Lepisosteus oculatus: one gene and its partners. The protein of the gene in region 1 purifies or fractionates together with the protein of each later gene. This does not show direct contact. Links are inferred from orthologs where the notes say so. Each region holds a gene or a part of one and is shown in the gene's direction. Other genes may lie near its edges.

What was found.
Region 2: the proteins of ppp2cab (region 1) and ints9 purify together in Homo sapiens (affinity purification with mass spectrometry; 3 studies listed by BioGRID and IntAct, with this or other methods). This does not show direct contact. The link is inferred for Lepisosteus oculatus from reciprocal best matches to the Homo sapiens genes PPP2CA and INTS9.
Region 3: the proteins of ppp2cab (region 1) and ints12 purify together in Homo sapiens (affinity purification with mass spectrometry; 4 studies listed by BioGRID and IntAct, with this or other methods). This does not show direct contact. The link is inferred for Lepisosteus oculatus from reciprocal best matches to the Homo sapiens genes PPP2CA and INTS12.

The regions. Positions count from the first base shown.
Region 1 is NC_090706.1:23,920,537-23,928,438, forward strand, and holds the start of ppp2cab (serine/threonine-protein phosphatase 2A catalytic subunit alpha isoform), read left to right. Parts: upstream 1-4,883; 5' UTR 4,884-5,118; coding exon 5,119-5,220; intron 5,221-7,902. UniProt on the Homo sapiens protein: Catalytic subunit of protein phosphatase 2A (PP2A), a serine/threonine phosphatase involved in the regulation of a wide variety of enzymes, signal transduction pathways, and cellular events.
Region 2 is NC_090697.1:60,386,300-60,393,331, forward strand, and holds the start of ints9 (integrator complex subunit 9), read left to right. Parts: upstream 1-4,030; 5' UTR 4,031-4,201; coding exon 4,202-4,210; intron 4,211-5,079; coding exon 5,080-5,207; intron 5,208-7,032. UniProt on the Homo sapiens protein: Component of the integrator complex, a multiprotein complex that terminates RNA polymerase II (Pol II) transcription in the promoter-proximal region of genes.
Region 3 is NC_090696.1:65,283,797-65,290,735, reverse strand, and holds the start of ints12 (integrator complex subunit 12), read left to right. Parts: upstream 1-3,937; 5' UTR 3,938-4,160; intron 4,161-5,007; exon of another isoform or gene 5,008-5,010; 5' UTR 5,011-5,237; coding exon 5,238-5,393; intron 5,394-5,710; coding exon 5,711-5,866; intron 5,867-6,447; coding exon 6,448-6,635; intron 6,636-6,939. Other genes in the region: gstcd (glutathione S-transferase C-terminal domain-containing protein), read right to left, coding at 288-719, 1,582-1,998. UniProt on the Homo sapiens protein: Component of the integrator complex, a multiprotein complex that terminates RNA polymerase II (Pol II) transcription in the promoter-proximal region of genes.

The DNA.
Region 1 (7,902 bases):
AATATTAGGAAAAACATGGTATCAACAAAATGAAAGAATGGGTAATACTATAAAGCTGAAGACACGATGCAGTTCAATAAAGTGCATTTTTCTAAAGGTTTTGTAGATTGCAATGAGTTGTTCCTCTACATAAATGTACAGTTCATTTGTATCCCACCAGTAATTAATCTGTGAATGGAATCACATACAAGATGAACAATGTGTATTCAACATGTGATTAGCAAGGTTCCACTTCTTAACATTCCTATTCACTTTCTATTAAGAATAAATACTTTCTCAACGCAACATTCGGAGGATGGATAAGCAGCTCTGTTGTCATTCTGCAATATGGGGCTCCATTAAGGGATGATACTGTTAACACTCTGAAACACTTTATTGCAGAAAATGTTTTTAACATTAACTATTGCACCAGCTTTGTGTTTTTATACCATATAATTCCTCAATTTCCCTTTGGGATCAATAAAGTCTTATATATATAATTCAAGTCCTTTTCTCTTTCTTCTGAAGCTTCAAATGTAATAGAAAGTACAATTTTAAGGCATGCAGATAACAGGTTCAGCTAATTAAGTTGAGCACGGTTCATTTTATTCTGTCTATATTTAGTACGACAGAAGACACTCGTGGCTTTCTTTGTCTCAATAGTCTGACTGATTGAAATGTAATTTCACGGCAATGAGTTTCTTCTGTTTTTCAGGTTTCTACTGATACACAGAGTAGTCGTCACAAGGACAGCAGTACCCCCGAATGAGCCACTTCCTTCCCGAATATGCAATGCAAACAACTCCTTGTATCTTGTTTTACAGGGATTTTTTCCATAAAAAACAATTCATAAAGTGATAGTGCCAATGCAGAATAAATTATGAATTTACATGAATACAATATTTGCTGCGTAGTTCTAACATAGTGCTAAACATTTGCAAATCACACAGCATTAATTCACTGAAAAGAACAGAATATTACCATCCAGAACCATACCAGTTGAGGAAGACTATGCAGTAGGGGCTATTAAATCTATTTATCTCTTTCTGTACATAACAAATAATATATACTGTAGATACGCAGTATCACATAAATTTCACATAAATTTGATATTTTATACCACCTTCCAGCCACAATGTTATTTTTGCTTTTACCTCAGAGTACCTACTTATAAGTTTTTTAATGTAGAACTTTATTTTAACAATTCTGTTATTGTTACTTCAAAATACTTCATAATAAATTCACATGGTCCGAGACTATTTGTGTGCACTATGCACAAATTGCTTCAGGTGCTTTATGGTAGCAAGCTGAAAATATTTTGGAACAGAAGCAATGCTCAGTGGTGTGGTATCTCTCACTGTGAGCCTTAATTAGAAGGTGGAGTTGTTTTTTGGCGTTTGTTTCAGCCTGCATCTTTTTGTTTTCCTCAGAAATAATTAGACTGTTGAGTTCAGAACAGTTAAGTTAAATTGCTTTGTGGCTTTTCTGCATATATTGTACTTGTGTACTCTGGAAAAGACTTCCAATGGGACCACCCATGAATCCATTGTTGGTGAGGGTCATGGCACCCTGGAGCTCATCTCAGAAACACAAGGCAGGGCTACATATGTGCTGGGACACCAATACAATATGGAGCACACATATCCACTTTGGGGGCACCCATTAACCTAGGAAGCATGTTGCTGGGGGGCTGGGAGGAAACCAGAGTACCTGCAGAAATCCCATGCAGGCTTTGGAAGAACAATCTCCACAGGTATGGGGTTCAAATCCAGGATTGAAGCCAGAACCCAAGAACTGTAAGGCAGCAGTGCTAAAAATTACGCCACATGTGTCTAAAAGGCATTTTGTCAATATTAGCCAAATACAATTTCTTGCATTAGGAATTCATCTTTTCACATACCCCAGCTTGCTCTTCATGAGACACAGAGGCACACAGACCAGGAGAGAGAAGCTTGGGATCAGAGCGCAGGGTCAGCCATTTATACAGCGCCCCTGGAGCGGCTGGGGTTAAGGGCTTTGCTCAGGGGCCCAATGGTATAGGATATCTCTGCTGGCCGCGTGATTTGAACCGGCAAACTTCCAGCTACAGACGCAGATCCTTAGCCACAGTTCCACCGCTCCACCCCTAGAGAAGGAGTTTGCCTGGGCCATACAGGGATCGAACCCGTGACCTTCCCTCGTTAAACATATCCATATCACATTAACATAGTTTCAAAATGTGAAACTGCTTATCTTGCTGGTTGTGCTTGATAATAGTTCTAACTATAAATAATAGTTAGCCCAGTGGTCCCCTCAATGGCCAATACAATAAAAATGATTAATGGGCCACACAGTAGTGCAGTGGTTATCATCACTTCCCTACAGCACTATGGCCCTGGGTTCAATTCCAGACCTGGGGTACTATCTGCTTGGTGTTTGAATGTATACACTGCGTCAGTGTGGGTTTCCTACCATAGTCCTAAAACATACAGGAAGGTTAATTTGCTTCTGGGAAAACTGGCACTAGGTGTCAGTGTATGACCTGTGATGGACTGGTGTCCCATCCAGGGTGTACCCTGCCTTGTGCCTGTTGCCTGCTAGAATAGGCTCCAGCTCCCCAGACCCTGAATTCGAAGAAGCGGTTAGAAAATTGATTAATGGATGATTAATTACTGATTGTTAAAATAAATAGTCCTGATCAGTATTTTTTGTATAAAGTTTTTCATACAATATTAACATATGCAGAGAATCACAGAGCCATTTAGTAATGCTCCTATCTTTTTTCTTCAATCTTTTTTTCAAATAATTTATCATTTTCCTTGCTCACATAATGTTCATGTAAATAAATATAATCCCATGCTTAAAAATATGAATAATTAGATTGCTTCTTTTTTGTACACCATTAGGTCATTTACTGCTGTGGCACTCTTTTTAAAGAAATGGGAATGTTCTTTGTTTTTCTTTAGTATTTAACCTGCTGATTCATGTTGCAGTGAAGAAGTCTAGCAAAATTTATTTTCTTGGCAGCTATTTACAGGAATAATAAATGACTTCATCTCCATGGGAAATGTCAATGCTTTAATTGTTGTGGTCACCTGGCCAGACTTTAAAAAAAGCTCTAAATAAATGACTTCATCCAACAGAACCACTGTTACCAGAGAGAAATGCTGTGGTTTCTCACTGTGACATGGTCATTGTGACTGGACTATTTAAAGATCACATTGTTTGTGTTCTACTGTGAAATAAAGGTAACTATAAATGTGACTACTAATGCACATGTATTTGCAGAAGATCCTCTTACAAAAGCTTTTTAAATGTAGATATTTCTATCACATATTAATACTCAGAAAAATCCATATAATTTTCTCAGATATCTTACTTTATGGTGTGACCTATTAATTTCATTGCAAATTAATATAATTGCAAGATACTGTGTACAGTATATATATATATGTGTGTGGTTTTTAATTTTCCGCACATATAAATTGGAAACTGGCAGACCTACTGTAAGCATCAGCATTTATGAAGGTGACAAGATACACAATCAACAGCAAGCCACTTTGTATTTATGGCAGGAATGCTGCGTATAATCATGCAACCAGGACAAAACAACAAAATCTAAGCTGGTACATCTGATGCCATAACGTCTCTTAACCATAGCTCTCAATTGGGCAGGGAAGTAATACAAAACAGACTCAACAATATTAGGACAGTAAGCTTAGCACATGAAACAAAACGGCTGTACTTTTTTCCCTTTTTGTTATTTCTTGACTTACTTGACAAATGCTTAAATATTCTAAAAGGCACTTTTTCACTCTCAAATATAAATATTTTGCAACCCTTCGGATGTAAACGTGAAACGTGTAAGACATGACAACAGTAATAGACCAATAACTAGGTTATGCAAGCAAATTACAGCTGACAGCCAAAGTTCAACAGCATGTCAGCATGTTTTACACCTTGTAAAGGCAACCATTCTACAGGTGCTGGGTAAATAGTCTTCTGTCCTTCTATATTCAGCACATTGTGATAGGAATCCATCAATGTAACTTGAAGTAAAACAGGTAATTTGAAAAAAAAAAAAGGAAATAGTCCTTAGAATTGAAGACGCACATTAAATGCGTAAAAAGAAAAAGCCTATCTGGGACCTAGACTGAATTCATATCTTAATATTGAAGCAGCCTTCTTCAAATACAACCGTATTCATTAACACAAATGTCTTATAACAGTATAAGACGGCTGTACACATCATTGTCTTGGTGATTAACATAATAATTAAAATGAAACATTACATCCATTACATCCATTTTAACATTGAATGGAAACTTGTCTTCAGAACGAATGTCTGACACTCATGGATTGTAGAAGATTTAAAAAACATTCACAAGCCATGACCGATTTTCAAGCGAATAAGGGGGATTAGGACGTTGTCAGTCAAAACCCTGCTTTTTGTTGAAATCGTAAGCAGCAAGTTATCTTTTTCAAAAAGGATTTTTGTGCTTGTTTATTTGCTTTCATATTGAGCTCCACAATTTTAATTGTGATGTGCTAATTATATAGAGTGAAGGGCTTTAAATGTTTGCTTTTAAATGTCCTACATAAAATGACATATTATTGTTTTAAGATTACATTCTCTGTTTTTTACACAGGGCATTATCCTTCTAAACGTGTATTATTTTACAGTGTAAATGTACATGTATTTCTGTACTGACTATAGCATTCAATCTATTTTATAACAGCTACAGTATTTCGGATAGCCGAGCTATAACACCTCCAAAGAATGGCGCGTATGGGTGTAACACGGTACTCAAAACCAGCAACATTGCCCACAACAGCGCTGCAGACAGGCTTACCACACTCCCAGTGCGGTTTTAGGCGGACTGTGTTTGCTTCCTTTTGGGACCGGAAGTGATCAGCGTCGTTCGTGACGTCAGGACGGCCATTAGGCAGCCGGAGAGGCAGGGGTGGGAAAGCGGTTGACTGACGTCTTCGTATTTCTTTTTTTATCTGCTTCAGTTAATAATTATAATTCCCACTTGCCGGGACTGAGTCTTTCCCTTCCCTCGCAGAGTAAACGGGGTTTGTAAAACAATAGGGCAGGGCGTTTTATTTTTTTCGTTTCTGTTTTATACTTAATCTTTTTTAGGGTAACGTTCAGAAATGGACGAAAAGGCGTTCACGAAGGAACTTGATCAATGGATTGAGCAACTCAACGAGTGCAAGCAGCTTTCGGAAAGCCAAGTCAAGACTCTCTGCGAAAAGGTAATTATTGTCTTTCTTCAGTACAACACAGAAATATGTCCATCTTAACTGGTGGAAAGGTGTATGGACGGGACGGTGTCGAGGGTTTCGAGCGGGTCCTCTCTTGCCCTGCATATACCGGCTTGTTAAGATGGCGGAGTGGATTGCCATTGGTTACCGATTCAAATGAATGAGGTATTATTCGTAAAAGCTCATTTGAAGCGGTATTTCAAGCATTTAACAGTTTATAATTCAAGAGTACTGAGCTGAGAAATAGACCTTAATCTAAAGCCTGCAGCAGCTCTGAAGGTGCAAGATATATAGGTTAAATGCATTGACTTAGGAACTTCTTTTAAAATAGAAAAAACAGCACTGCTGCCGGAGAAAGGTAGTTTAAATGATTAATATTTCGAACTGCCTGCGGACATCTTGGCACTGAATTGTTTGTAGCGGTGAAATTCGGCGTTAAATTGAATGCGTCGCTTTCCGATTGCTTTTTGCGATGGGCTGTAGTACATTCCTAAAATGGCGCCGATAGTTACACATAGCAGACTCCGAAAGCCGTGCAGGCTAACTGTGTTGTCCGGTAACGTAGCTATACGAAAAACGATCTCTATTTATCGTAGTAGTTATGCGTTTTTATCAGATAAGCACTTTGTCTAGGTTCCCTAAATTCGAGCAACGAGACCTCGGCCCAGTTTATTAAGGTATTTTGTTTTTGATGAGCCGCCGTATTCCGGTGTAATGCTGTAGCGGTGGTTTTTAGAAGCTGGCGTTCTTTCTTAACTTTCCTTGCTTTGTTTCTTGCTCAGAATATTTTTAAGTACTGAAAGGCAGAGTAGTGTTTACTTTTAAAACAACGCTTACAGTGGCAACTTCTGACTTAAGTGTAGCCTCACATGGAAGTTGAATTAGCTCGCCTTTAGCCCTTGGTGATTTTAAATTCAATAGAGGTATATTAATAATGATTGGTATTTTGTCTAGATTAAATAGTAAAATTATGGATTTTATTTTTTTCATTTGTATTTTAAGTTTATATGTAGTAGTGGTCAAGATCTGCTCTTTAGTATGTAAAACAACTCAACGTTTTGTAGGGCTGTTCTCAAATGTGAGAGTTATGAAGTGATGATCACTGTGACAGAATAAAGGGGACAGCCGAAAGAAGCGCCACTAAACGAAACAAGACCCCTGTCTTGGTGGGTAGCTGCGTCAGCATGCAAAGGAACAAGTAATAGGTTTATTCCATGCTGAAGAGCGAAAACACAACGTTTGACTGTGAAACCTTCTTCATGTGTGCAGGTGTGCCCTCTGTTTAGGTTGTGCATTGTTACAGTAAAGTTACCCATAAGGTTTTTGGACCCTTGAGAGTCGTTTTCCATCCCTGATCCTGAAGTACTCCTGTCTCTTCTGGTTTTCATTTCCAGTGAGCTGTCAGTCAGTTAAGTGTCTTGAATCTTTGATATATTTTTAACTATTTTTTGTACACAGGACTTTCACAAATGTTTTGTTGTTTCAATTATATATATCGAGAAGAACTATAAACTTAGTTTCAAGTGAATGTTCCTCTAAATTGGAATTCTGTGTTCTTATTACCCAGATAGTGACATTTCTAAGCATTCCTTGTGGAGCATGGCTCTATTTGTTAAATGCACCCAAGTCGCGGAGGCAAAGCTCAATGAGAGGAGAGTTGAACTTGGCATCTGGTACAGGTTTAATGCAAATTAAGCTTGTTGTATTATGTCTTGGCATGATGGCACAGTGGTTAGCATTGCAGCGCTCAGGCCCTTGGTTCAATTCTGGACCTGAGCTTCTATCTCTATGGAGTTTGTATGTTCTCCTTGTGTTTGTGTGGGTTTCCTTCGGCTGCTCCAGTTTCCACCCATAGTCAAAAAACATAATGTTATGTTAATGTACACAATGATGAGGATGGAGGATTTCCTAATGAGTAGGCCAGACTAGGTTTGGCTGCATCATGGTTAGTACTGAAAGGGGATCGTTTATTGTTAATCTTTTTCATACACTGCCAGACGTTAAAAATGAACTGTTTTGGAAGCAGGTCTGTGTGGACTATAGGGAGGACTCCCACTATATATAGTAACTTCTGGGTTTACATTTTGTATCTTGTCAAAAGACTCCTGTACCAAATCAAAAGAAAAGTGCTCTTAAGCTGTGTGCTTTCTTCCTGGTAAACTAATGAGATTCATGAGATTACAAATTAATCTAAGTTACTTTCACAGAGGAACATCAATGTAAACAAAGTGCTAAAATACTTATTATTGGCTATTATCATGTACTCTTTCAAGTGAGATTCAGTGGTTTTGTAGGTGGGTGATTTCATGTAAGGTGACTTTTGTGAAAGTTAAATGTCTAGTTCTGGGTCAAAGTTAACTGTCAGCACAAGGCATTTCTTTAAAATGTCTTTTAAAATTACCCTTCCCAGAACATGGTATGTAGTAAAGAATTATTTCCCTTGCATTTTTTATCAAGGGAGAGTCAATGTGTAGCTATAAAATTAGACAACAAATTTGGGTTTGGACCTTAGACTAAAGTACATTTTTTTAAGTTCATATATTGCTATTGTATATGTAGGGAAAAATGGAAATAACTATGTAAAGTTACTTAATAACATGTTAAGCCACCATGAGTGGCCAGTACCACCTTTATGCTCCATGGCATTGAGTCTGCTTGCTTCTGGAATTCTGC
Region 2 (7,032 bases), on another chromosome or scaffold:
CAATGTGGTCTGGCTTCTTAAAATCGATATTATTGAGAGGAAATCAACAAATTTCATATTATGAGGCAATTTTATGATTTGAAACCTTAAACTACCTTCAAAATACAATAAACAGGCACAAAACACAGTCACCTTAAACATAATGATCTTACCCTTGCTGAAGCTATGAAATAAAGATATTGTTTTCATTAATGCGGACAGGGTGTCAAATGAATAAAATTCACTTTATGGAAACCAAAGTGGTATTTTGAGATATTTTAAGTATACGGTAAATGAACACACAAACACATTATATTGATTCATTCCTGAGGTTGAGGAACTTTTAATACAGAATTCAAAATAAACCAATATTAAGAGATTAGGCTAGCAATTTGTGCACAGAAGTGGGTTGAAGGCATTTGCCGAAGTCATCCATCGCAATATCCACATGGGACACCTCCACCACACATGCACACAAAATGGAAAATGTTCTAATAATTATAGATCAGTTTATTTCATCGCTTTATTTGATTTACAAAATCCATTAGTATGGACTTTGCATGGTACCCAAAGGAGGGTTACGCATATCCAACAAGAGGACGGCGATAAGCACTGACGGAAAGGTGATGAGATACAATGGGGAAAGTTAATACACTGGCAAAGTTCCCGGGGAATATAAAAGATAATTACAGTGATGAATCTAGACTTCTCAGGGAACAAAAAACATAAACATCCTCTGTGAAATGCAGCTGCAGTATGTGCTGCAGTCATGTGCGCTTATAGTAACTGCCTCCAACAAGCAGGGGTCCAAAAACACAACACAGCTATCTTGCTTATTGTTCATACACTGGCAGACAATCGTCATTTACCACTGTCAGCAGACTGCAACACCCCAGACGATCATCAAAGAACTACTGAAGAGAAAAATCAGAGCTGATCTCACCACATCTCAACTCAACAAAGCTGAGCCTGATCAATACTTGGGTGAGGGGGTTCTGAGGAAAATCAGGTTGCTCCTGGAAGATAGTACTCAAGTACAGCAGTTGGGTCTGTAAAATGAGTTGTAATGCATGTGCCACTGCTGGAATTTAAAGCAAAGGTTTGACTTCTATGGCTGGATGTTCACATAATGCCATTTGATAAAGTAAGGGCCCTTGTTATCTTGAAGGAGCAGCATTGTCGCCTTCTAGGCAGATATATGAAGCTATGCAGTTTGAGCCTGTTCATAGGAAACCCCAAAGAAAACCAGACTGCTGTTGTAAGTGGAATTGGTGAAGGAATAGATCGCACTTTTCCCTCTGGGCCAGAATTTCCAAACCAATGTCCCCGTATGGGGACCTGTTACAACTGTGCTCTAGGATTTGCTGACATTCAGATACTTGAAATAGAAGTCCTGACAAAAACCAAAGATCCTATGACATTTTTAGAAAAGGTAGGAATGTTGTCTAAAGTAGACTTTGATCACGTACAGTCTGGCTTTCCTAAATTTTCCTCTAAACTGAATTGGTGAGGCTGTTTCTCAACTCAATCCCTGAACTGCTGTATAGTGGAGCTGCTGGCACATGATTGCTGCCTAGGTGGGCACTGTGCTACACAGGTAGAAGAAGTGGGTCTTCTCCTGTATGTAAAGTGCTTTGAGATTTATTGGGTTAAAAGCCCAAGTTTCAAAGAAGTTTCCAAGCCTTGACGAATTCTAGTTTAGGCTTTGATGGTATTGTAACTACTAAAGTAACGTCTTGCAATGTTCACCTTATTTTCTGTAAGGGGATCTGCTGGCTAAGAATAGTACCCATGTACTTCGGCAAAGAACGCTATGCTGTAATTTTTGAGGAGAACAGTTCTTTATTATGGCCTTGGTAAAGAGTAATATAATCCCATGAAACCCATTTGTGACATGATCCAACAAGCATTAAAGTAAGCATAGACAGTGCCTATGAAATTGCCCATCGATATCTGAAGATATGTTAGTTAAATTCAAGTCAGGACACAGACCAGATCACAGAGGGTAAACGATGACAAAATGCAATGACAGTTCACCTAAAAGAAGTAAGTCACACACTGCTGCCAGTCAGTTTGGGAAGTGACGCAGCACCAATTTGTTAATGGCACCACACAATTGGTCAAGACAGATGTGATATCATAATTTCAGATCAAGGTGGGTTAGTGTCTTCAAACATGCCCTTTTTCCACCACCTGTTCTCCAAATGGGGGCAAGTTACAGCCTGGATACCTGTAGAAGTTCACGTTTACAAGTGGAGCATACGGCCCGTGACTCACTTTGGCAGACAGCCATTTAAAGGAAAGGCTGACTAGACATGCTGATTTTTCTTCAAGATACAAATGCAAATCCACACTGAGGTAAAATGGTGCGATTCTCTTTATCTCTGAACAGGTCTAACATTAACTGCATTATTTTCTGATCTTAGAGTCTAACTCCAGTACACCTCTGGAAATTATTGAACACAAAAAGTTTTCACAGTGTTCTACAAAGAGAAACAACAAAACAGAATTAGCAACACTCACATATGTCAAAACGTCCAGAACTGTGGATTTCGCAGTTATCAGTGAAGGATTCTTCACTTACTGTTGTATTTTAGACAACACAACATTGTTTGCTAAAGGTACAATGACTGCTCCATTCTGTACACACTATGCATTGAGATTTATTTCTAATTTGTACTGTACAGAGCAATTATCATAAGGTCACAATGATATGTAAGAGTCAAAACGAGTCAAAAACTGATTCATTCCAATTCATTTCAAACAGACAACTTTAATTTTCTTCTGTTTTTGATGCATCTAAACGATGCATTATGTAGAACAGCCCACTCAATATTCCCTTGATCTATAGCAATTAATTTGAACATATATTACTGAGAAAGAATGTGTTGATTCAATAAACAAGGTCAGACTAAATATACTTGACACTATTAGGACGATGATGAACATGAATGATAATCGTTAGGGAGTTAGTATTTGCTACTACAGGTCATACACCTCCGCTCGGTCAGACGTCACACATTCAGAAATGAGTTACGTCATTATACTTCAAGACCACCAAAACGCCCACACCGCCCAAAAGCTACCACATACTTGCACCACCAAAATAAACACACGTCCCAGGGTACAATGTTTACGGCTGCTGGAGTAAGAAACACCATCCACCCACTGCAACACCTAGCGTGCTGCACTTTAAAAATGTGTAAATTATGGATCATTTTAGGACTACTGCATTTCGAGTTGATAATCCAGAAGAAATGCAGGTCGCTTATTCTTCCCAAAATATGAATTAGTTTGCATTTTATAGACATGGCATCGTGATGAACATCTAGCTGACAATGCATTCTCAAAGGACATTCTGTGTTGAGAAGCACATACTGTGCGAACAAAAATCTGAAGATAACTCCCCCACTAAGCATAACACTGATAACACTTATGATAGTTAATCATGTTTACTTTTGCAGTTTCAAAAGACCTGGCTTTATGTTCAGATCGGAGTCAGTGTACACAAGCAACCAATACACGTTTCATTAAAACTGAAATACACCTGATCAAAATTCGACCTGTATATCATTCGAACAGTGTAAACTAATCCAGACGCTGCATATTGACACATAATTCTTACCTTTATCAGTTTATCTTGGGCCTCCGTCCACCACACCATTTAATAACAGGAATACAAATAAATTCCTAGAGTGATCCCGCGAATTTAGCACCGAAACAAAACATACACGAGTTATTTTTTGAAACCCTTGCTGTCCTTTTCCTTCTAATTTGATTTCAGTCAGAGACTAGACTGACTTGCCTTTGTCTGTCTGACAGCAGCCATATTGACATCAACATCAGAAAGCAGAATGAGGTTCGTCGGGAACCGTAGTTTCTCACAAAGTATAAAACCGAGTCCCTCTCAATCTGAAGCGACAGGCTTCCACCGAGAACTACAATTCCCGTTAACGTCATGGACCTACTCCCAGCGGGACTACAAAGTAGCGGCCGACAGAAACACTCGTCACACGTCGCTCTGCGTTCTGTTCCCTTTTCACCCTTTGCTCTAGCTACCCGGCAGTGAAAATTAAAAAATAAACTACATCTCCCAGAGGAGGTGACCACAGGAAGTATGTTGAAGTGAACTATCAACTTTGACTCTTGAAATCCAAAAGATTTGGCGTGGGGATTGTAAATATATACTGTACATCTAGGTCATCTGACATAACAATTCAGGATGAAACTAGTGAGTATACAATTAAGTTATTTCATTTCTTGTTGCAAAGTCCAGGCTGCAATAAGCATGGGTCAGTTGAATGAGGGAACTTTAGAGAAACTGGAACGTTTTTTATGTTATTAGCAGGAAAAGGTGACTGAAGTTCGTTTGGACAATTCACGTTACATTTTACAAAAGCTGGACACGTGTTGAATAGAAATAATCTAATGTTTACCACTTTACTAATGTACAGTATATGCATTAAGGAAAAGACTAGTGCACGCAAAACCTGACGTATTAAGCTTAGTGTCCTGGTTTAATTCAGTTTTGGTTTATTTTAAATCTGGCCTTTCTGCAATTGTTTTAATTCAGATGACAAAGCAGTTTCGTACTTCTTCACATTATCTATTGTGTGTAATCAAATTGCTGCACTTTAATAGATGGAGTCGGTCCCTTTCATAAAGCGCTTCACGTCTGCAAGTAATTATTTTTATATAGCACAGTGTTGCTGAACGATGAAAATAAGTACAGTTCAACGTCATGATGTTTTGCAAGCAAATTTAGTATTTTACTGTTCTGTACTTTGTTTTGTACTTACAGGAAAAGATTTGTTCACCGCTTTAAAAAAATGTTCTTCTTTTACGTAATCAATTGTAAATGGTTCGATGTCTGTTCCAGTTTGTCTGATGGACTGTAATAAATCAACTTTATCATGTATGTCATCACTAACGTCGTGTGAATAAAGAAGGAAGAATATCCCAGTAGTTGGATTTAAATTTAAGAATTGAAGCTCATAAAAAAAAAACATTTTTCTGACATAGCTTATTGATAAATACTTTTAAATGCAATTGCCTCTCATGGTTTAAAAACATGATGTGTGTTATCCTGTATTTGTGTAGTACTGCTTGTCTGGTCATCCAACCTTGCCCTGCAATGTCCTCAAATTCAAATCTACAACCATCATGCTGGACTGTGGGCTTGACATGACATCAGCGCTGCACTTCCTGCCTTTGCCTCTAGTACATAGGTAAGACCATCAACAAAAAAAATAAAAATACAGTCTTCATAGTAAAATTCACACATGTTATTGGTGAAACGTTTTTCAAAGAACAGCATGGTGACACAGTATATAGCATGTTTGCCTCCCAGTGCAGGGGTCCTGGGTTTTAATTCCTGGCATGATCTCTGTGTGGAGTTTACATGATTTTTTGTGTTTGCGTGGATTTCCTGTGGGTGCTCCGGCTTCATCCCGTGGTCCAAAGACATGCTGGTAGGTTCACTGGCTTCTGTAACACTTGCCTTACTGGGAGTGTGTGCCCAGCAATGAGTTGGCATCCCATCCAGAGTGTAGCCTGCTTTGTGCTCAGTGCTTCCAGGGATAGGCTCTGGAAGGGCCACTGTGACCCTGAATTGGACGGGCAACTATTGAAAGTGATGATGTTGTGATGTTTTACAAAGGAATTTGGCATATTCTTCTTGTTCTATGTAATTTTAATTTCCCAGAAACATCCTCAAAATTGAGTGAGTGTTATCTTTTAAATATAAAGTTGACCTAGCATGTTCTCCCTTTTTCCTTTGTGAATTGTTTGTGGAGAATAAGTAAAGAGGGTTGGATTTCTTCAGGAAAGCCAAGATATTTTACAAAGCTGTTAGATTGAGAGGATAAAATGTGATCTGATGGTTGGCTGAAAAGCCCACTTCTCCTATGGCGATATTTATATAAATCAAACCACTCTAAACAAAGACCCTGAAGATTTGTTGGAGCGTGCGATCTAGTTGTTTTTTTTATTTGTAGACTTTACAATTCCTCGCAAACAACTGGACATCCAAATAGTGGAGAAAAAATAAAACAGTCAGCATTTGTAAAATAATTATAATGCTTATTTGGAAATCAACATTTTAAAAACCTGGAGCTTGAATGAACAAAGATTTGGTTAGAAGTATAGAAAAAAACAATCTAAAAGAAATGGCCAACATTCATTGTCAAAACTCATAGTTTTGTTAGTTTCAAGTAAAATGAGCTGTATCTAATTTTTGGTTTCACATAAAGACATTTGTTTGTTTAGTTAAGTAATGATAGATCTTGATTTTGTTCACAAATCTTGATGTTACTTTATTGTAATATAATACAAATCAAGTCTGTTTAATGGCAGTGACAATGAAAGTTATAAATACAAGACCTTTAAAAATTGTTTATGTTCCTTGTTAATGTTTAGAATTGTAATCACTACCACTCAATTGCACTAGTCATTAGCTGTAATTTGCACTCTAGTGCTGTATTTTAAATTTAATTACAGCTCAGGTTTGGAGTCACTCGATGGAAATATTGTAGTTATGTAATTCTTTTATTTATCAATAAACAAATCACATACATAATTGGTTTACAAAAAGAGGAGAGATTGGGTAGTTTGCATTAGGTAGAACATAATAATAATTTCTCTGACATTTTTTTTGTGATTTAATTAATGCATAACAAAATAGGGCAGCATTATTGTGCAGTGATTAGAATTTCTACCTCGCAGTGCTGGGGCGTTGGGTTTAGTTCCTTGGGTGCTATCTGCGTGGAGTTTGAATGTTCTCCCCGTGTTCACATGGGTTTTCCCTGGGTGCTCTAGTCCAAAGACATACTGATATGTTAATATTAGCCCTAGTGTGTGAGTGTGTATGTCCTGCCGTGGACTGGAGATCCATCCAGCATTTATCCCACCCTGTGCCTGTTGCTTGCCAGGGTAGGCTCTCACTCCAGTGACCCTAAATTGGATGAATTAGGGTGGACTATGCAAACATGAAAGCTTGATATTTTGTATTCTAACATTTTTATTAACTATTATTTTTAATGTATTACTCTTTAG
Region 3 (6,939 bases), on another chromosome or scaffold:
CTTTTTTTTTTCACTTCCACAATTATATTTGAATGTAAGTTCTGAAATGTAGCTGAATACAAGTTAATGTGTAAGCTAAAGATACATCCACTAACATTTAATTATTTTATTAAAGATTTTTATTGAATTAATAGCATTGGTGAGCCCCCCCCCCCCATATGTAAAACTACAAGTACTTTTTTCACCCACAATAAAGACTCCAAAAAGTTGTGAATAAAACAACTTTTTTTCACTAAGTATAGCACCTGGCCTGTGTTATTCACAATTTCACTGATTTGCATCCTTACCAGAAAGTGGTGCAAACAAGGCAGCAGGACAAGGTCTGTAAGGGTGAAGTACAGCCCCTCTGCAAACACATGCTCTAGGGCGGGCAGCTCAGTGGTCTTGACTCTCCTGATGTTAGAGGGCCCCCTAGTGGCTGACAAAGGTGTATCCTCCACAGACAGCTTGGCCAAGGCAGCCCTCAGCTCCAGCTCTTCCGAGTTCACTGACTCCCGGAATGAAGCAGGCTGGGTGGCAGAGCCTGCCTCTTCCTTCTGCTGCTGCAGTTTCTGCCGGCGGATCTTGTCGTCATTGTGGACCTTAACGGGCTCTTCCAGTTTCTTCTCCAGGCGCAAGATAGCGGCGGGTATCTCTGGATCTGGGCCTGCAGGCTGCCTGAGAAATTCCTCCACAGCTGAGGGGATGTTGAGCTCACAGAGCCGCGTCCATTGACTCACCTAGGCCAGAAATCAACACAGTTATTCCAGTAAATAGAATTCACTAACATTTCCCTCAAGACAGAGATACAGCAGCCCCATGTCCCCTTTTAAAACTATTATCATAATCACTGATGACCTCCCCTACCTATGACAGAAGTAATATAAGGTTTATCCTGGTGATGCAACATAACTACACCATACAAGTAGCAGAAAACAGACCTGTCATTTGTTCCTATAAACTAAATCAATTTCCATTGCAATGTAATAAATTACACTATCTGCATTTTCCATCATATGATTTAATATGATGACTACTGAAAGTCACACACAAAACAGAACAGACTACAAATGCCCCTCTAAAGCACATACCACTAAACAAAAGTATGGTAATAATAGCAGATCATGTCCATGTGAACCTCACAAATATAACCTGAGTGCTTGTTTGTTCTGGGGAGATGGGCGTCGAATGGGGTATACTTGTTCTACTTATATGTGTTCACTGTCATTCTCAGGAGCTATTTGTTCAGCAAGTTATCTTTGTTTAACATAAACCCGTTGTGTAAAATGCACTTTCCCCATCTCAGTTAAAAAAGACTTTTTCGTTTCGAACGTGCAGAAATGATTCAGTGAAGTATAATGAGTGAATACCATACTGCTTAAGATCAGGACTGTTTTTCTTCCCCTATTTATTGATGAACAATAAGCTGAAGTGATATGAGAAACTACCTTCGCTGGAATGGTTAATAAAAATGTAGTAGTAAAAAAAATTATCATCACAAGCAATACACCTACAGTAATTAGATAGTCAACAATACAGTCTAGCATATCTGCATTAATAAACAAGCAAAAGGAAAACAAAAGAATGAGATAACAGACTTACTTCGGCACAGGCTTTGAGGCAGGTCTTTTTGAAGCCCAGCAGGGCCGCTACATCCTTGCGGCTGGGATCTTCCTCGCAAGTCCTCTGAATGATATGTCTCAGCACTACGGCCAGGCCTGCTCGGCAATACCTGCCCTCCTCCTCCAGCACCGCAGGAAGGCAACAGCTTCTCACCAGCGCGGGCAGGTCCTGTTCGGAGACGACGCTGGCGGCCAGGCCCCCCGGCACTCGGTGCCTCCATGACTGCGCCGGGTCAGGCCGAGAAGGAACCAGGAAGACACGGAATAACTTGGAGTCACAGTACGACAGGAGAAAGAGCGTTATGGACGTGTGGAGAGGGAGAATGGCCTCTTCACTCTGGTCAGAAATGTCCAGGTAGAGACACTCTTCTCCCCTTTTTGAATTTGTGTGTTTCATTGCATTGGAGGCACAGCAATATACTCTGTAAAAAGAAAAGAATATTAAATGTTCACATAACAGCACAATAAGTCTGTAGGTACATTTATGTACTTATATTTTTAGCTTTATTAAAGTAGAAATATGGGCTAAACCTTTAGAGTACAGCCTCAATCTGTAAGACTCAATGACGAGATAGTGTGATTCTCAATAATTTTCTATACATACTCTACATACACAGGGTTTAACATTTAATATTCAAGAAGTGTATATGTAACATCTTTGAAACTATGCATAGGAAAAGTCATTGCAATGTGATAGTAAGCGAATGTTTTTCCTTTTATATACAGTAGCACTTTGCAAAACAAAGGATTCCCAAGTGCTTCATATATAGAAGGGGATCCACAGTCCACAACTGAAGAGGTGCACCTCTTTGAATTGGCTTCATTACTTTGTTCTCCTTCCCACTAATAGCTGATGTGTGGTGAGCGTTCTGGTGCACTATGGCTGCCGTCGCATCATCCAGGTGGATGCTGCACATTGGTGGTGGTGGAGGGGAGTCCCCATTACCTGTAAAGCACTTTGAGTGGAGTGTCCAGAAAAGCACTTTATAAGTGTAAGCAATTATTAATTATTATTTTGGGATATGTGGCAGTGCCACTCTACAGCAGATCAGGCATAGAAGTGAGAAATTGATTTCCCTGTTGAATTAATACAGAATTTAGGAAAGCCAAATTGCAGGACACAAGGATTCAAAAAATAACAGCCAAAGTCGTCTTGTGTGACTCTGTGTGTCTTCGTGATCTACTGTTTGGAATCAAGCAGACCATTTTAGAAATCCACCTCCTTTCTGTTAAGCAACTGCAACATCAGCACAACTGCAGACCAGTGCAAAACAGATGTCATGACCATTACAGGAAACGTCATTACACTGTTTCACCCAGGTCTCAGAAACGACACACCTAAAATTTAAAAGGGCACGTTAGTGGACTTATCGCAGGGGCATTCATAATCTGACCATATTACAGAGATTAATGATTAGGACTGATTTACAGAAAATCAGACAAACGTATGCAGGTCTGTTGTTTTGCCTTTACATTAGAAATTTACTATGACCTAAAACCAGATTATCTGACTCCTATTAAAAGCTTAACTCAAATGAGAAGCAGCAATAAAAAGCAGATGAATCTACAGAGCCCCCAGAAGAGAAAGACATGCTGTGACCCACACATACGTTCTGCCCAAGAGAAAAATCAGCGTGTCAATGAAAATATGCTACCGTTAAGATTAGTTCAACTTCACTGCAAATTTTTCATTTTTTAAAGGTGAGGAGTAAAAGATTCAACACCCTTCATGCGAATGCGATCAACATCAAATGTAACTGAACAAGCAGTTTTCAAGACAAGTGCACTAAAATTCTCTCTCTAGCCCAAGTGGACCCTAAGACACTATAACAAATCAGACGTTTAATTAAATTAAAATAGTTAAAATGACAACGACATTTCGTTTCATTTACAACATTTAACTTAAAAGTAAAAACATATCAAGAGGTATTTCTGTAGGGTTTTTATTATACAGATCTTGTACACATGTCTAGCTTTATAAACATGTTGCGCCTAAAAGAAGTTGTTGATGTTTATTATTATTTTACTGTTTGAATCTCTCCCATTCAATTCACCGCTTTTCTTGTTTGTTTTCGCAAGCGTCAAAAACGAAATCAGCTTACTCTACTCACAGCAAGCCTCTGCAGCTACAGTTCTCTTTGCACACAGTCACGCTGTTTCAAACCTTTTCTTCCTTGTGTCACCAAGAAACGTGTCCGTGTAACATCTCACACCCTTAACCGACGGTTGGGAAACGTCATCTTAAATTAAATAGTCGTTAAGTAGTTGGAAAAAATGGCACGTAAATGAATTAACTGTTTTTATTATATGATTTAAATGCTGATTAACTGTTTTATGAACGATCAAAAAAGTTTTTTTCCCCGATAGGGTACAAATATTATGTTTTGTTTCCCCCGAACACAAAAAGGGGAAGGATGGTTATAGATCATATCGGAAAGGGACATGCTCACGGCGTAAATTGTAAATATACGGAGCTATATATATATGTATAGGTATATAAATTGAACAGATGTTAGTTTGCATCAGTTTATTTTTGTTTTTTATTTTCGAAAAACAAAGGTAAGAAAGGAAATGCGTTAAAAACAAGAGGTGTTTAAATTACAGTTGAAATAAGTTTGTTGCAAGGTGTATGTATGTACTTCCGTCCAGATGACAGATTAGGAAATCTAGTAGCAATATTCCCATTCCGAGATTTTTACACCAGTGGTGATGAAGTGTAAAACTAGAGAGGTGAAGTAATATTTGGAAAAAAAGGCATTTAATCTCAAAGATTTTGTTATTGTGTAATACGTGTTTTTCTTTAGCAATAGTATATCCTGTGCTGCGGAGTAGTTGTACGGCTGGTTCCGGATTCTGGACAAAATAGTTCGTTCAGAATAGTTCTGAAGGGAATAAATCATACGAATAAATTAATCAAAAATGCTTATTTTTTTCCTTATGATATAAAGCGTTACCACCACTGGCTGTTAGATATTTATAAAAGGGAATACCAATGAATATTTTTGTTCATATAGAAAATATCAGTATCATGACTTAACTGTAATAGTATTAGGTTTTGAAATAAACGACAGGGCATTTCATTAATAAAATTTGGACGATCCAACTGGCAATTTACTCGGTGCGACTGTAACAGCATAACAGCATGTTTCATATGGCTGTGAACCAAGAGATTAATATCGTTTGTTACACTACAAAGTGACTATTCAGATACTTTTACAAATTTCCATTTGACCTCTGATTTTCTGAAAATAGGACAAAATGAGATTCAAGTCATAAAAATATATCTGCAGAAAAAGCTAAACCTATACATCCCTGACAATATAGTGCAGGCTTTTGGTGGAGGTGTCCATTTAGTAAGTAACTATTTAATATTAAATGCAAGCAGTCATTTTCTTATGTTTTCCAGCAGCTGAACAGGATTGAGGGAAATGTGGCCACTCTCTGAACCAGAAAAGAGATTAAATGATGCATAATGTTTTGTCAGTTAAACAGTAACAGACAAAGAAATGCATCAGCCTTTGGCCCTTCCTTCACGTTCAGACTGCACACTTAAGGTATGCTCTGTCACTGATGGCAACTCTCGCATCAAGACCCTTGCAGATTCATGTTGTATGTCCATAACAGCTGACAGAGATCATGGCTGCCACTGTAAGTCTGGAGCTGGACCCAATCTTTCTGAAAGGCCTTGGATACCTGCATTCCAAAAGCAAGGATTCAGCAGAGAAACTGAAGGCACTGCTAGATGAATCCTTGGCAAGGGGAAGTGATTCAAACTATCGGACCACGCTCAAGGTAACCCTTTGCAGAAAATTATGAGTAAGGCCTTACATTTGAGCCATGATGCACTAGTTTGTTGCAGAGCCATGACCTTGCTTTTTTTTTGAGAAATAACATTTTAAAATGTAACAAAAAAGGGCTTTGCCTTGTGTTTGAACCTTGTTTACAAAGGAAATCCTGTAATCTGGACACAGTTCAGCCTACAAGAGTAAAAGTAATCAAAGACTTGTCTTTAAAGAGTTTCACTCATTTTGTTCTGTTCTATTTTTTTTGTTGTTGTTCTTCACTGGCGTGTCCTACCTGTGGTGTGAAATCTTTCTTTCCCCAAACAGGAAGTGGAGGTCTCCAAGGTGACCGTTACGAAAGTGAGCTTGAGCAAGCAGGAGACAAAATCTTCCTCTAGCTCCTCTTCCTCAGGCAGTGGCAATGGCAAGTCAAGCAGCTCTGAAAAAAGCAAAAAAGAGAGTGAGAAAAGAACATCGGAGAAGGTAAACTGTCAGGAAAACGAGGAAAAAAAGGAAGATTCCCATTCATGAGGATGGCAAGCATTTGCCAGTCCTAGTTTCTAAACAACCACTATCTGAAGTTTTTCAGATACCTTGGGTTAGGTATCTCATTCTTAAGGTGAAACTGAGCAGGAATACATGAGTTGTATCATTAGCATGCAAAGCTTATGTAGACTGTTTCACATTTACACAATGTTGTTGAACATTCTGTGGCTTTTTTAATGGTTACAATGTTTTTAACCATCACTCATCTTAGGACAAAGGTCCTTGTGTTCTTATACTTAATGTATTTAAAAATTTAACCCAAATCAGTATTGTTTGCATATATAAATACTGTAATATGAAAAAGAATATTTTAATAATTACTACTTAGTAGAAACCCAATAGGAAACCCAAATCAGTATTGTTCGCATGTATAAATACTGTAATATGAAAAATAATATTTTAATAATTACTACTTAGTAGAAACCCAATAGGAAGTTTGCTATTGCTGGGTGTTAATTAAAATTGGGGGGCTCCTATGATACACGTGCCACAGTTTCACCTGTATTCTGTCATTTCAGGTTAAAGTGGATCCCGTTGATGCAATTGACCCACCAAAGAAACCTCGCCTGGAGAAGCAGGAGAATAGATCGTCTCCCATCACAGTTCAAACTAGCAAGGACCTCCCCATTCCTGATTTGTCCAGCTTTGACGAGACGAGTGCCGATGATTTTGCTATGGAGATGGGTTTGGCTTGTGTGGTTTGTAGGTGAGTAACGTCTCATTGCATACAGTATGAACAGCCTAGGTTGATCACCTATAGAACATAAAGTAATCTAAATAAAGCAAAGACGATCTTGTCTTTTATTACAGTTTTACACATTTGTATGTTTTAGTATATTAATAAATATTAACTAAACTGAAAAATAAAAATTGGCCTGCCATACTTTAATGGTTTTTTTATAATTTTCTTAGATTTTTCTAACCAGTATTTGGGAATAGAAGCTGGTATTTCACCATTCTGCGCATCACAGTTATAGAATACAAAAAAAAATTACTTCAGTTGGGATAGT